3 linked regions of the Oryzias latipes genome follow. The protein of the gene in region 1 purifies or fractionates together with the protein of each later gene. This does not show direct contact. Links are inferred from orthologs where the notes say so. Each region holds a gene or a part of one and is shown in the gene's direction. Other genes may lie near its edges. The genes, in order: ptpn14, stxbp4 and pdlim7.

Region 1 (4,354 bases):
TGAGTGTGTGGATGTGTGCTTGGGAACAAAAATAAGCCTTTAGAATCTAATGATAAACCTTACCGTGCCTTTTTTTCTTCTTATCCTTCAATTCCCACGATTCCTTTCTTTGTCTTTTTAAGCATCCTCCCCAAAAATCCCATTTACTTTCCTCTCTTTCATCTGGTCCAGAAATTTAAAGGACTTTGCAAAACAATCCCATCTAATCTTATCTAAAATATCCTCCTGTAACCCTGTTGGAACAATAAAATTGGGCTCATGCAAGAAGTTCTCGGTTTCTGCGGAAAAAGACGAGCTAAAGGGATTTAAAAAAAATAGTCCCAAATTACTAATTCTACAGGTTTACAAACTTTTAATGAAGGTTTAAGTTTGGATCATCACTGAAAAGTACCAAATATGTTTTTGACTTATTTTTTAAGGAGTCAACTTGATCCGCTCTGGAATTTCACTTGACCAGGCTGCAATTATGCAAAATCCCCAAATCTAAGTTTGTCCTGTGGCTAAATTGTTATTTTTTTATTGTCAGTGGCATTAAAATAAAATTACTAGAACATAATCAAGTTAGGTCTAAAGTGTTCAGCCTTCTTCCAGTCTGTATTGTGGTTGTTTCCAAGATGGGAATAGCTCGGAGGAGCAGATGAAAGGCAGCTATTGAAGTCTGTTTGTGCTTTAAGCTCTTAGAGCTCCTGGAATTCCCGAATAATTTTGTCCAAACTCCAAGCCTCCTAAGCAACCCCAGTTCCTCAAGTTCTGTGTGTGCCGTGCTGAAAATGGTGTGTGAACTGCTTATGTGTGTGTGTGTGTGTGAGCTATTAGTCCCTATAAAGGCTGTAATAAAGTTATGCATGAATGTTAGACTATGATAAAGTGGTTGCTTTCATTTTTGTAACTCTAATGTTCCTTTTTCTAATTTTTGGACCAAGACAAAAGACTTTCTATCTCAATGTGTTCTTATTCTGCCAAAAGGTTTCGATCACAAGACAAAAGAAAAACAAACAAAAAAAAACATTTGAGGTCTGGACTGTTCAAATTTTATTAGAAAAAAACCACACACAAATGCATAAAATAAAAGAATGGTAAAAGGGAAATATTGTAGGTCAAAATCTGTGCCTGTTACACTGCCCTCTAGTGGTTTCATGAAGAATCAGTCATTGGTCAGTCTTTAAGTTTACCTCAAAATGTAAATGTTGTTGTTTTTAAATATAAATGTAGTTATTGATTGACTGACCTATTTACAGATGTCTGAACACTTTTTTTTTCCTAGGTCATGATCAGGGGTGAGGAGTGGCACTACATAGCAACCCAAGGCCCTCTAGCCAACACTTGTGGAGACTTCTGGCAGATGGTGTGGGAGCAGGGGGTCAGTGTCATCGCCATGGTTACTGCAGAAGAGGTACCCACACAGATTTCAATCACTTTTAGCATGGATCTGGTTAATTCTCAAAATTAGGATTACACATAAAAAGGTCAACCTGTTAAAAAAAAAAAAAAAAACTGTACAAATCTCTTTAATTTAGCAAAAAAAATTGTACCATCCTGATTACTTTTTTTTTTACTTGGAAAACATTCTAGTCACTTGCACCCATTTAGATCTTAAAACCAGAAAGGCTCAAGTTTCAGTGAGAGCTTTAGGTCTATAACAAACTTTAACACAATTAAAACTTGGAAAATGAAGGAAAAAATAAGCGATGGAAAGTGTGTGGAAAAAACTTTCAATAAGGGAAATCTCTATGCTCAAGAAAAATTCTTTTTTTAATAATATATATATATATGTTTTTTGCAGAGTTTGTTTAAAGAGTGCAGAGTTTATGAATCTTAAACATACAGCCTTCTTTATTTCCCCATCAAGGAGGGTGGAAGATCTAAGAGTCATCGTTATTGGCCCAAACTGGGCTCCAAACACAATTCAGCCACTCACGGAAAATACAAGGTGACCACCAAATTCCGCACGGACTCGGGATGCTACGCCACCACAGGGTTAAAGGTCAAACACCTCCTCTCTGGTCAGGAGAGGACGGTGTGGCACCTGCAGTACACCGACTGGCCCGAGCAGGGGTGTCCTGAGTATGTCACTGGATTTCTCTGTGAGTATCCATCCTGCTGCGTTTGTTTGTGACCATCACATACATCTAAGTCAAGTCTCTCTTTTTTTCTCTGAAGCTTATTTAGAGGAAATCCAATCTGTTAGGAGGCACACTAATTCTATGTTGGACACCTCAAAGAGCCTGAACCCCCCGGTGGTGGTGCACTGCAGTGCTGGGGTGGGCCGCACCGGAGTGGTCATCCTGACTGAGCTCATGATCAGCTGTCTGGAACACAACGAGGTGTGAGATACAGAAACCCCAAAGTTTCTCTTTAAATTGTATTGAAATAGGAAATAAATTCCCATTTCCCCTGCAGCCGGTGGAAGTTCCAACCATGCTATCGGAGCTTAGGCAGCAGAGGATGCTGATGGTTCAGACCATCTCCCAGTACAAGTTTGTCTACCAGGTTCTCATTCAGTTCCTCAAGAACTCCCGCCTCATTTGACATCACAGGATGTGGTACTTCAAATCATCAAGACGACACTCAAAAGTATTACTGATAGACTCTTTAACTCATGTAAAATGCTTCTCCAGCTGTGTTATTTTTATTCTCATAACATCCAGGTGAGTAAACAGATGCTTGTTACTTAAGAAGCATAAAAAGAAATCACAGTTTCAGTTGAACATTTATCAAATGGTGTTATACGGCATGAACAGCAGGGGGCAGCAGTGTTGCAATTTACACAGACAAGTGTTGTTATTGCTCAGACAGATTTTCATATTTTAAACAAAATATTTACTACAGACACACTGTGTTAAAAGTTTTGTTTTTAAAAAGACTGAACTGATTTATTCTCTTTTGTCCTTCTTAAACATGCCTAAACCTTTTCGTATATTTGATATTTTCCTTAAAGAAACGCACCCAAAATTTACAAAATGTATTTTCTATTCGTTTGAAAAAGAATTGCTGTTTTTTTTTTAAATACTAAAAATAAGTTATAAAAGCGATACATAGAAAACTGCCTTCGTTCTAATGGTGCCTCACTAAAATATTATAGAAGAAACCCCGTTTCCCTTTAATGTCTAAATTAAGATTTTACAGACAAATTAATAATTTTAAAGCATAAAAATTAAAGATTAGACACTGAAAAGAATATAAAAAGTGATCAAATCCAGAAGCTAACTCCACTTTCCTTTATCCTTTATGTAAAATACCACTCTAAAAATGACTTTTATGACTTTAAATGTATTTTTTCTACATCTTTAAGAATAATCTGTACATAATGGCATGTGACACTGTTTTATATATGTCTTTTCTTGACTTGGTACTCTTTAACTACCGCAAAATGTTAAACTATGCATGCTTTTTTTATTTTTAAATATTCCCATGTATATATTTCAGTATGTTTGCTGATACTTAGACTGTGCTTTTTTTGGACATACAAGTGTTTTGTTGCACTTCTCTGTTTGACAGTATTTTCCTCACAAGGCATTCCTCTTGCTTTTTTTATATTTATTTAGCTCTTCAGTTTTTCTTTGTTTCTGGCCAAACTCCTAAACACATTTCACAGATTCTGTACATATGTTTTGTATATGCATTTCCAGTGCATTCAGACCCCCCCCCCCCCCCCCCCCCCCAGACATGTATGAAGCTGTTATACCTGCTTATCATGCAGTAAAAGCCTTATTTTCTTTAGATCTGTGGCCTCATTGCCATTTATTCCCTTTGTGCTTAAATAACAAAACAAAAAAACCCCCACTGATGATAAAAAGCTTACCCGTGTTGACCGTTTCACAAATTTTCAACTCTCCAATCAAATCCTCCTCATTTTTGTGATAATTCTTTGCGTATGTCTTTAAGATACTGGTGATCCTTCCCATGAGCCACTTCCATTATAGCCATTGCCTGCACACACAAGAAAATATAAATATTTTATTGCCTTTTATTGTTTTAAGCATAAATATTTTAACCTGCATTTTTGTAAAGATTAAAGCTACTGTGCATTATTTTGTTTAATACAAAACAACAAAAGGAACACATTTATATTATATACATTTCTTTGATCAGTTTGTTACCTTTGTGAGAGCGTTGATTCCTGCCGAGTGCCTCCCCAGTGCCATGTAGATCCTGCCCAGCTTCAGGTAAAGGGACGACACATTTAAGGAGTATGGATGGTAACGTTTGCTGTGTTGAAATGAGACAGAGTTTTAAATATTTCACTTAAAAAAAATATCAAAACTGTCAAAAGGAGTCCGCAATTAGAAGAAAAAATAGTATTATCAACAAATTAACTGCTAAAAAAGTTTTTATCCTCCTTTTATTAAATTTT
Region 2 (3,651 bases), on another chromosome or scaffold:
TCTTCTTGCACGGCTTCCCATTTGTTTCTCACAGACCCAGAGTCAAATCAATGCTGAGAGGCTTTTCTAAAGAAGTGCTTTTTTTAAAGCAGCCAAACACGCCTGAGGGAGGATTCAAACATGAGTTTTGTTTTAACTGTCTCACTTCTCCTGTATCTCTGCTGATGCCAAGGAAACAAGGTCTTCTCTTCACCCCGATTTGTTTCCTTTTAAAATCCATTGATTGCTGTTTTAAAAATCAAACACTACCTTCCTTTCCCAAATTGGTCAAAATGACCAAATGTTAGTTTCTCAAAAGAGCACTAGAGGGAGATTTCACAGCAGTTCGCTGGTCACTTTTCCCACAACCTAAATATACCTAAAAGAATTCTCATTTTTGAGTGTTTGTTGCTTCGTTTATTGTTCGTAACAATCTCAGGGGATTGATTTGTTTGATTTGAATTTTATCAGAGCTCAAACTGGAACAAAGGACATTTTTTTATATTCCTCTTACTTCTTACTGCCATTTACGCCTTGAGGCGCAGCACATCTTTAATATGGCAGGAGAGTAAACCCAACAGAGCCTGAAACTTTACCCTGCACTCAAACGGCTGCACGGTTTCCTTTATTTGGTTCAGATTCTCATTGCACTTTTTGCAAATGGATGGAAATTCGGAACATGTGTGTAGTGATTGCGGCAATTGTTGGACAAAAGTTACTAAGGAAAACACAAAATGGAGGTTTTGCAACTGCAGCAATAAATTAACAACAGTGACGTGTGGTTAGGTTCACAGCTGGTGAGGCACTGACGTCATCAGTCAGATTCACAAACATATGAACCCTACAGAGCAGCAAGTCGCCCCCTTTTACTGGCAACAGTTAGTGTGTTGTTTAAAATTTCATTTCAACATTTAAAACTGTAGCTTAGATAAAAAAACAACCAAATAGTTGTTATTGTTTCAAAGCTACAGGTCTGGAGTAGATGTGGCGTTCAGGTCAGGGTTCAGCTGCTCATCGGTGTGTTTCTTCACAGGAACAGCTCCTGCAGTCCCAGAGAACGCAGGAGGACCTGGAGGAGGATCTCAAGAAAGCTAAGCAGGTGAGTCTCGTCTGCAGGTCTTTGGTGAAAGCTCTAGTTGTCTCTTTTCATCAGTTCCAGCATAGTTTTAGAACAAAGATGCAGCTCCGCATAAATGTTAAAGGTTAAATTTACAGATAGGTTGATAATCAGTTTCTGTTTTCTCTTTTTGCTTTTTAGATTTCTCTTTAAATAAATTGTGACGCTGGTATTTGTTGTGTCCATGACTGTCAGTGAGGATTGTGTGCTTCTGTCTTTTCTGCAGGATGTTAAAGTGGGAGCAGAGGAGAGTAGAGCTCTCAGGACTCGCATCCAGCAAGCCGAGGAAGCCCAGAAGCAGGCAAGGGGGATGGAGATGGACTATGAAGAGGTGATCCACCTCCTGGAAGCTGAGATTGCAGAACTAAAGACCCAGAGGATGGAACACCCAGCATCAACCAAAAAGGAGGAATGTGGGACTTCTAAGGTGCATTTTCACTTGTTTTGTTTGGTTTGATTAAAAAGAAAGATGTCCAGGAGTAATTAGGTCATACAGTTCAATAGGTAATGGCTAAACAGAACTAACTGCCCTTAGACCCCCCTTCACGGTAAGGAAAAACTCCTAAAGAAAACGGGAAAAAACGAAAAAACCTCAGGGGTGTCCACATGAAGGAGGGATCCTCCCCCAGGACAGACAGGCCATGTACCAGAACTCATAGAGAGAATTAACTTATCTAACACTACAACTACGTGTTTAAATAGTCCAGCAGATGAGCGGATCCACAGCCAGGGGTAGGAGCACCGACGAGTCAGCTGGAATCTGGACCAGATTCTGTTCACCACATCAGTCTGTCTTGATGGGTCATGTGACTTAAAACAGCTTCTCTGACCACTAAGTTAGTAACCCAAAGTTAAAAAGCTCATAAAAACTTTACTGAGAAGGAGGGTCTAAGGCAGGGACGCCCAGTTTAGTTTAGTCTGTTTAGTTAGTCAGAACTTCATGATCCTTATGATTTCATGTTTACTTTACAATTAGCGGTACCAAGCCCATTGAGACGACTATATTAGTCGTCTGTATTAGTCGTCTCAATGGACTTCTGGTTTCACGGCTGGAAAACGTTTGGTCATCAGCTCTACACGTTTCCTGTGTTAAGCTGCAAAATAGCAAGCAGCACACGTGAAACAGACTTCAAAACAGCTGGTGGGGAAATTCAAAAAGGTTTTCAGAAAAGTGTAACTGTATCCCAACAACAGCTGTGGCTCTCAGGACCCCTGTGATGGGTTTTCCACAGCTGTGCTGCCAAACCCTGGTGATTTCTGGCCGGTTGGAGCAGGAATTGTCACCCAAATGATTCTATGGACGTGCTATAGTTCTACCCAAATTGCAATAAGAAAATGAACCAAACCACTCAGTCTGCACTCAATTTGTCCAAAGGAATTCACCTCTAAGGAGTTTTTGAACAGAATAATCATAAGGCTTGGCCACAACTGCCCTTAAGGGTGGAAACAGCTGTCTGCGGGCAATAAATAGGCTTATCTGGACACACAGGTGGTTCACACGAAACATCAAGGTTGTAGACCTCTCTGTGAGGCCGTAGAGCAAAGATGTTCCTGAACATTTTTCTACAGGCTTGCAGCGGGTGACAGGTTTGAGTGAACACGTAAACAACACGTACGGGAAAGTAAGGATGAAGTAGCTGAGACACTGGCATGTTATACAGATTACAGCCCCCCTCCCCAGGTTCTGCACAGGGACCTGTTGGTGCGTTCGCCCCTTTGCTGCATCTTTGTTTGCAGGCTGACTGTTGGAATTGAGGAAATTAAACACAGAAGTTTGTGATGTCATTCCTCAGGGAGTCTACGGGCGCTTGCTCATCACGTGCCCGCCCCGTGCACGCAGCATTTGCACGTCATCAGTAAGGAACCAGTACTTGCACCTAACGACAAGAGTGTGGTGCATGGACACCGTACGAAAGCAGCAGCTGGACTTCATAAGTGCGTTCAACTTACATTAACCTCATAAATATTTCAGAAAAGACAATGGTACGTTCCATTTTCATGACGACCTGTGAGGTCACCACACAAGCCTCAAGACACCAGCGGCCCCCCTAAGATTTGGCTGCTCCTCTCTTTGGGCCCAGAGCGGCGTGACTAAGGCTTTAGAAATGGGTTCCTAAGAAGAGTTCAGAGAAGAAAGGTTTGAGCACATTTTTCAAAATCAGAAGATTCATGAGCTCAGGGCTTCTGAGCGGAGTGTTGCCATCACAGCGTTTCATGAGGAGAAGGTTTTTAGACGAGATGCTCATGAGCAGAAAGGTATCAAAGCCGATGTTCAAGAGAAGTGAGTCCCTGAGCCCCTCGTGACCGCAGGGTTCCTGTGAGATTACTGGCCAAAGTTTTCTGGGTCAGGATGTCAAAACGGATGATGGTTGTTGCCTCACTGCTAGCTGGGATTGGAGTCAGTGAAAGACGATTTCTTTCCTCCACATAGACAGACAGGATGATCACTATCATCATGGTGTGTTGGTTTTTGCACCCTTCAACTTTCCGGCACAGGAGCAGACAGAGGAGCTGAAGAAGAGGGTGACGGTCCTGGAAAGCCAGCTAAGGAAGAG
Region 3 (3,651 bases), on another chromosome or scaffold:
AAGTGATGTCAGGCCCTCCTGTCGCGACAGGACTCCAGCTCTGACTCGCACGCCTGCAAGCCTCCCTGTCGGCGTGAGGGGATGATGTCATCCTTTTGTCAGCCTGTCATGAGTGAGAATGCATTTGATTCCAGTAAAGCCTCTGACTAACGATAACATGTGGACCTTTTCTTCAGCTATCAAGCGCGTCTTTCATAGTCTTAAGTCACATCTGGTCTCGATCGTTTGCCGTTGATGGATGACATCAGGATGACCTTATAATGTCTGTTTTGCGGAAAGGCTGAGTGAAACAGACGGGTACGCTCCTCCTGTTAATTATTGGGTGCTAACAGATGTTACAGACAGCCAGCTGAACATGACTTAGTGTGTTTCTGTATATGTGAGGTACTGTGAGGTAACGTTGTAAAAACAGGAGACTTATTACTACACTCTGTAGGAATCTCTGTCGATAAGATAAGCAAACAAAATAAATCAAATAAAAAAGAAAAACACATTTCTTTTGACACTTTCTAAAATCAAATTGCACCTAAAAAGGATTGGGAAAATAAAGCTTTTACAATTTATTACAGATCAATTGAAACCCTTAAAACTCAGTTTCACTTAAGTTAAGTTAAAAATAAACAGAAATATACCCAAAAATGACTCCTTACGAGGCCTGCACAATAAATCGCATCATGAGTTCAGCCTTTGTGATAAATGGTTACCTCAAATTATAACATACATGCTAAATTGATCTCATGGGATCTTAAAGTATTTAACAAATCAAATAAAAACCCTTTCTTGATTTGACCATTCGGACTGACCCGTTCACGTCGCTGACCAATCAGATGTTATGTGGGTCATTTGGAGTATAATTTAAGTTAAGTTGACTTCTATTTAAATAAAACAGTTGAAAGGAAACGGAAATTATGTAATAATATTGACTACTAAGATCACACATTGCAAGTTTTTCTGCTATCCTGCAGCCCTAGTCCTAGTCCTCCTTTTTTCTTTTTAGAAAGATGTTTTAATTCTGTAAAACACATTGCATTACTCTATAACATAAAATGCTTTATAAATAAAGATTGATTTGATGTATGACTTTTATTAAAACATGGATTTTTCACATGGATGCATTACCTTTAAAAAACATGCAAAGATGCACAATTAGTTTTTTTTTACTTGATTTTTTTTTCTTTAACTTGTTTTGTCCAACAGCTGAGCAAACAGATTAGAGCTGAAGGCTTTTTGTGTTGGACAGGTTTTACTATCACAAAAAGAGGTTATATAGCTTCGAGAAACCAGGGTGTAGATTTGTATAAACCCCTTTTTGTTGTATTATTTTTTATTTATTTGTTAAATTCAGTGTGTGTGGGGAGGGAGAGGGGAAGAATGTGAGGGGGGGGGGGGGGGGGGGAGAGTAAAAGGAAGAGAGGTGAGAAAGTGGGGGATACAAGTACTGATTTGAATAAGTTATTATTTTAAGCTGTAACAATCACACCAGATCTGCTGGAAAGACAAAGTTTTTTTTACTTGGTAATAAATAGATTTTATCTACGTGTTTTAAAAAAATGTATTCTTGTTTATTCATTTTTTGCGTTATCGGCTACCTATATGTTTTTTCTGACCTGCTGAAGTTGCTTCTCCGTCATATGGGTTTCATTTCATAACTCTGTTAATAATCTTCTCCCACTAAATCACTTCTGCATCTTTGTCCTCCACAGCTGACTCCAGGTGGAAAGGCGGCTCAGGCTGGAGTCGGGGTGGGAGACTGGGTGGTTTCGATCTGTGATGCCAATGCTGAAGACATGACTCATGTGGAGGCACAGAACAAGATTAGAGCAGCAACAGACTCCCTCACCCTCACCCTCAGCAGGTAAGCCGGAACAGGATTTCTCATTCCTCCCATGGACTCACAACAATCTAAATATTCAAAAAACACTCACTGGCACTTTTTATGAGACTGAGGGAACTTTCAAGTTTGCTTTACGTTGACAGATTATTGCAAAAATTAGGGCTGCACGATATGAAGAAAACTCGCAATATGCGATATTGGTGATCAATACTGCAGAGACGATATAACTTGCGTTTAACGAACAAATGGCAAAAACAACAAAAACATTTCCATTTCACTGCAAAAGTTTAATTTAAATAGGAGTCAAAATACCTTAGATTATTCTCCAAATGACCTTTGTTTAATTAGCAGGGGAAAATCTAACATAAAAGCTCCACCTGATTGGTCAACAACGTGAAGGGCTCCATCTGATTGGTTAAATGCATACAGGGATTTATTATATTCATTGAAGAGTTCAAGTTGCCATAAGATTGTTTTAGCACATTTAAGGTTTACCATTTATCGTGATTTTTGCTGACTTTTGCCATATGGATATTGCACAGCCTGAAATCGCGATAATGATAAATTTGTGAATAATTGTACAAGCCTAGCAAAAATACAAAAAAAATATTATTTTAACCTTTTTTTTCTTCTTTCAAACGGGCACAGCATTTGTTTTCATAAGTGCTGATTTGTTTAAGATTGCCTTCTGTTTTATTTTGTATTATTTTAGTGATTTAATTTTTGTTTAATTTGATTATTTCCCTCTGTTGATTCTAAAGGTGCAGGAACATTTACATTAGCAGGTTAAGCTTACACTTTAGTCATCTTTAATATATTTTTTATGGCAAATGTAAAACAAACTTGCATCCAATTAAATCAGCTTTGAAATGGCTGGTTTTCATTTTAAATATGAAAAATTATTTGAGGTGTTAAGGACTAAAAGATGGTTTGAATTATAGCATTTGACCTTTGCAGGTTTATAAAAAAAAACCTACATTTTACCAGAGGAACAAACTCTGACAACTCATCACTCTGGTTTAATATGCAACAAAAAGTTCAAATATAGCTGGAATCTGTGTTTAAAACACAGTTTAATAATTGTCTGAGGTGTAAGTCAAGCACAACTAGTGATTTATTAAAAGCTATTAACTGAGGCATGCACACAATTTCATCTCTACATCCAGCTCTAGTATTTGTCTTCTTTTCCACAGCAGCTCCTGGTGGCTCTGTGTGCTGACCTTCTGTTCTTTTAATCTAAACTATTCCAAAAGAAAACCTCACATCCTGAAAAAGCACCAGAAACACACAAAAAGGACACGCAATTTCTCATAAAAGCACTTTTTTTTAAATTCAGTAAGAAAATAATTTGCAGCAGACTGCATGCCCGTCGGCAGAATTTGCACACATTAGTCTGCAAATACTTTTTATAAAGTCTCTCTGAAGACTAGAGGAAATGTTTCATCTGCAGTGTGGACATAAAAAAAGATTTTAGGCCCAAAGAGAGATAAAAATGTAATCATTCAAGGGCCTAAAACCTTCAGAAAATGAGAAGGTATCGACTTGTTAGAGCAATAAAGATGAGCTTGCTGCTTTTATGGGACTCATTTTGATTTTTTTGATCCTCGTAAGTAATAAGAGAAAAGCTGTGTTATCTTGTTCACCTTACTACTGCCTGCCAAGAGTCTCTTCTTTTACATTTCAACACCTTTTCTTTTTTGAACTTATTTTGAGAGAACGACCGCAGGTTTTTCAAGTTTTGTTTTTTATTTTTTTTATAGTTGCTGTGCCATCACTTTTGTCAGTTTTTTAAGATGTTGAGTTTTGTCTCATTAAAA

What was found.
Region 2: the proteins of ptpn14 (region 1) and stxbp4 purify together in Homo sapiens (affinity purification with mass spectrometry; 3 studies listed by BioGRID and IntAct, counting the BioPlex papers as one, with this or other methods). This does not show direct contact. The link is inferred for Oryzias latipes from reciprocal best matches to the Homo sapiens genes PTPN14 and STXBP4.
Region 3: the proteins of ptpn14 (region 1) and pdlim7 purify together in Homo sapiens (affinity purification with mass spectrometry; 3 studies listed by BioGRID and IntAct, counting the BioPlex papers as one, with this or other methods). This does not show direct contact. The link is inferred for Oryzias latipes from reciprocal best matches to the Homo sapiens genes PTPN14 and PDLIM7.

The regions. Positions count from the first base shown.
Region 1 is NC_019882.2:9,205,476-9,209,829, forward strand, and holds the end of ptpn14 (tyrosine-protein phosphatase non-receptor type 14), read left to right. Parts: intron 1-910; exon of another isoform or gene 911-1,264; coding exon 1,265-1,393; intron 1,394-1,849; coding exon 1,850-2,084; intron 2,085-2,160; coding exon 2,161-2,324; intron 2,325-2,400; coding exon 2,401-2,529; 3' UTR 2,530-3,720; downstream 3,721-4,354. Other genes in the region: N-lysine methyltransferase SMYD2, read right to left, coding at 3,850-3,930, 4,101-4,209. UniProt on the Homo sapiens protein: Protein tyrosine phosphatase which may play a role in the regulation of lymphangiogenesis, cell-cell adhesion, cell-matrix adhesion, cell migration, cell growth and also regulates TGF-beta gene expression, thereby modulating epithelial-mesenchymal transition.
Region 2 is NC_019877.2:24,516,369-24,520,019, forward strand, and holds part of stxbp4 (syntaxin-binding protein 4), read left to right. Parts: intron 1-1,012; coding exon 1,013-1,078; intron 1,079-1,322; coding exon 1,323-1,523; intron 1,524-3,592; coding exon 3,593-3,651. UniProt on the Homo sapiens protein: Plays a role in the translocation of transport vesicles from the cytoplasm to the plasma membrane. Inhibits the translocation of SLC2A4 from intracellular vesicles to the plasma membrane by STX4A binding and preventing the interaction between STX4A and VAMP2.
Region 3 is NC_019868.2:19,535,269-19,538,919, reverse strand, and holds part of pdlim7 (PDZ and LIM domain protein 7), read left to right. Parts: intron 1-1,703; coding exon 1,704-1,855; intron 1,856-3,651. UniProt on the Homo sapiens protein: May function as a scaffold on which the coordinated assembly of proteins can occur. May play a role as an adapter that, via its PDZ domain, localizes LIM-binding proteins to actin filaments of both skeletal muscle and nonmuscle tissues.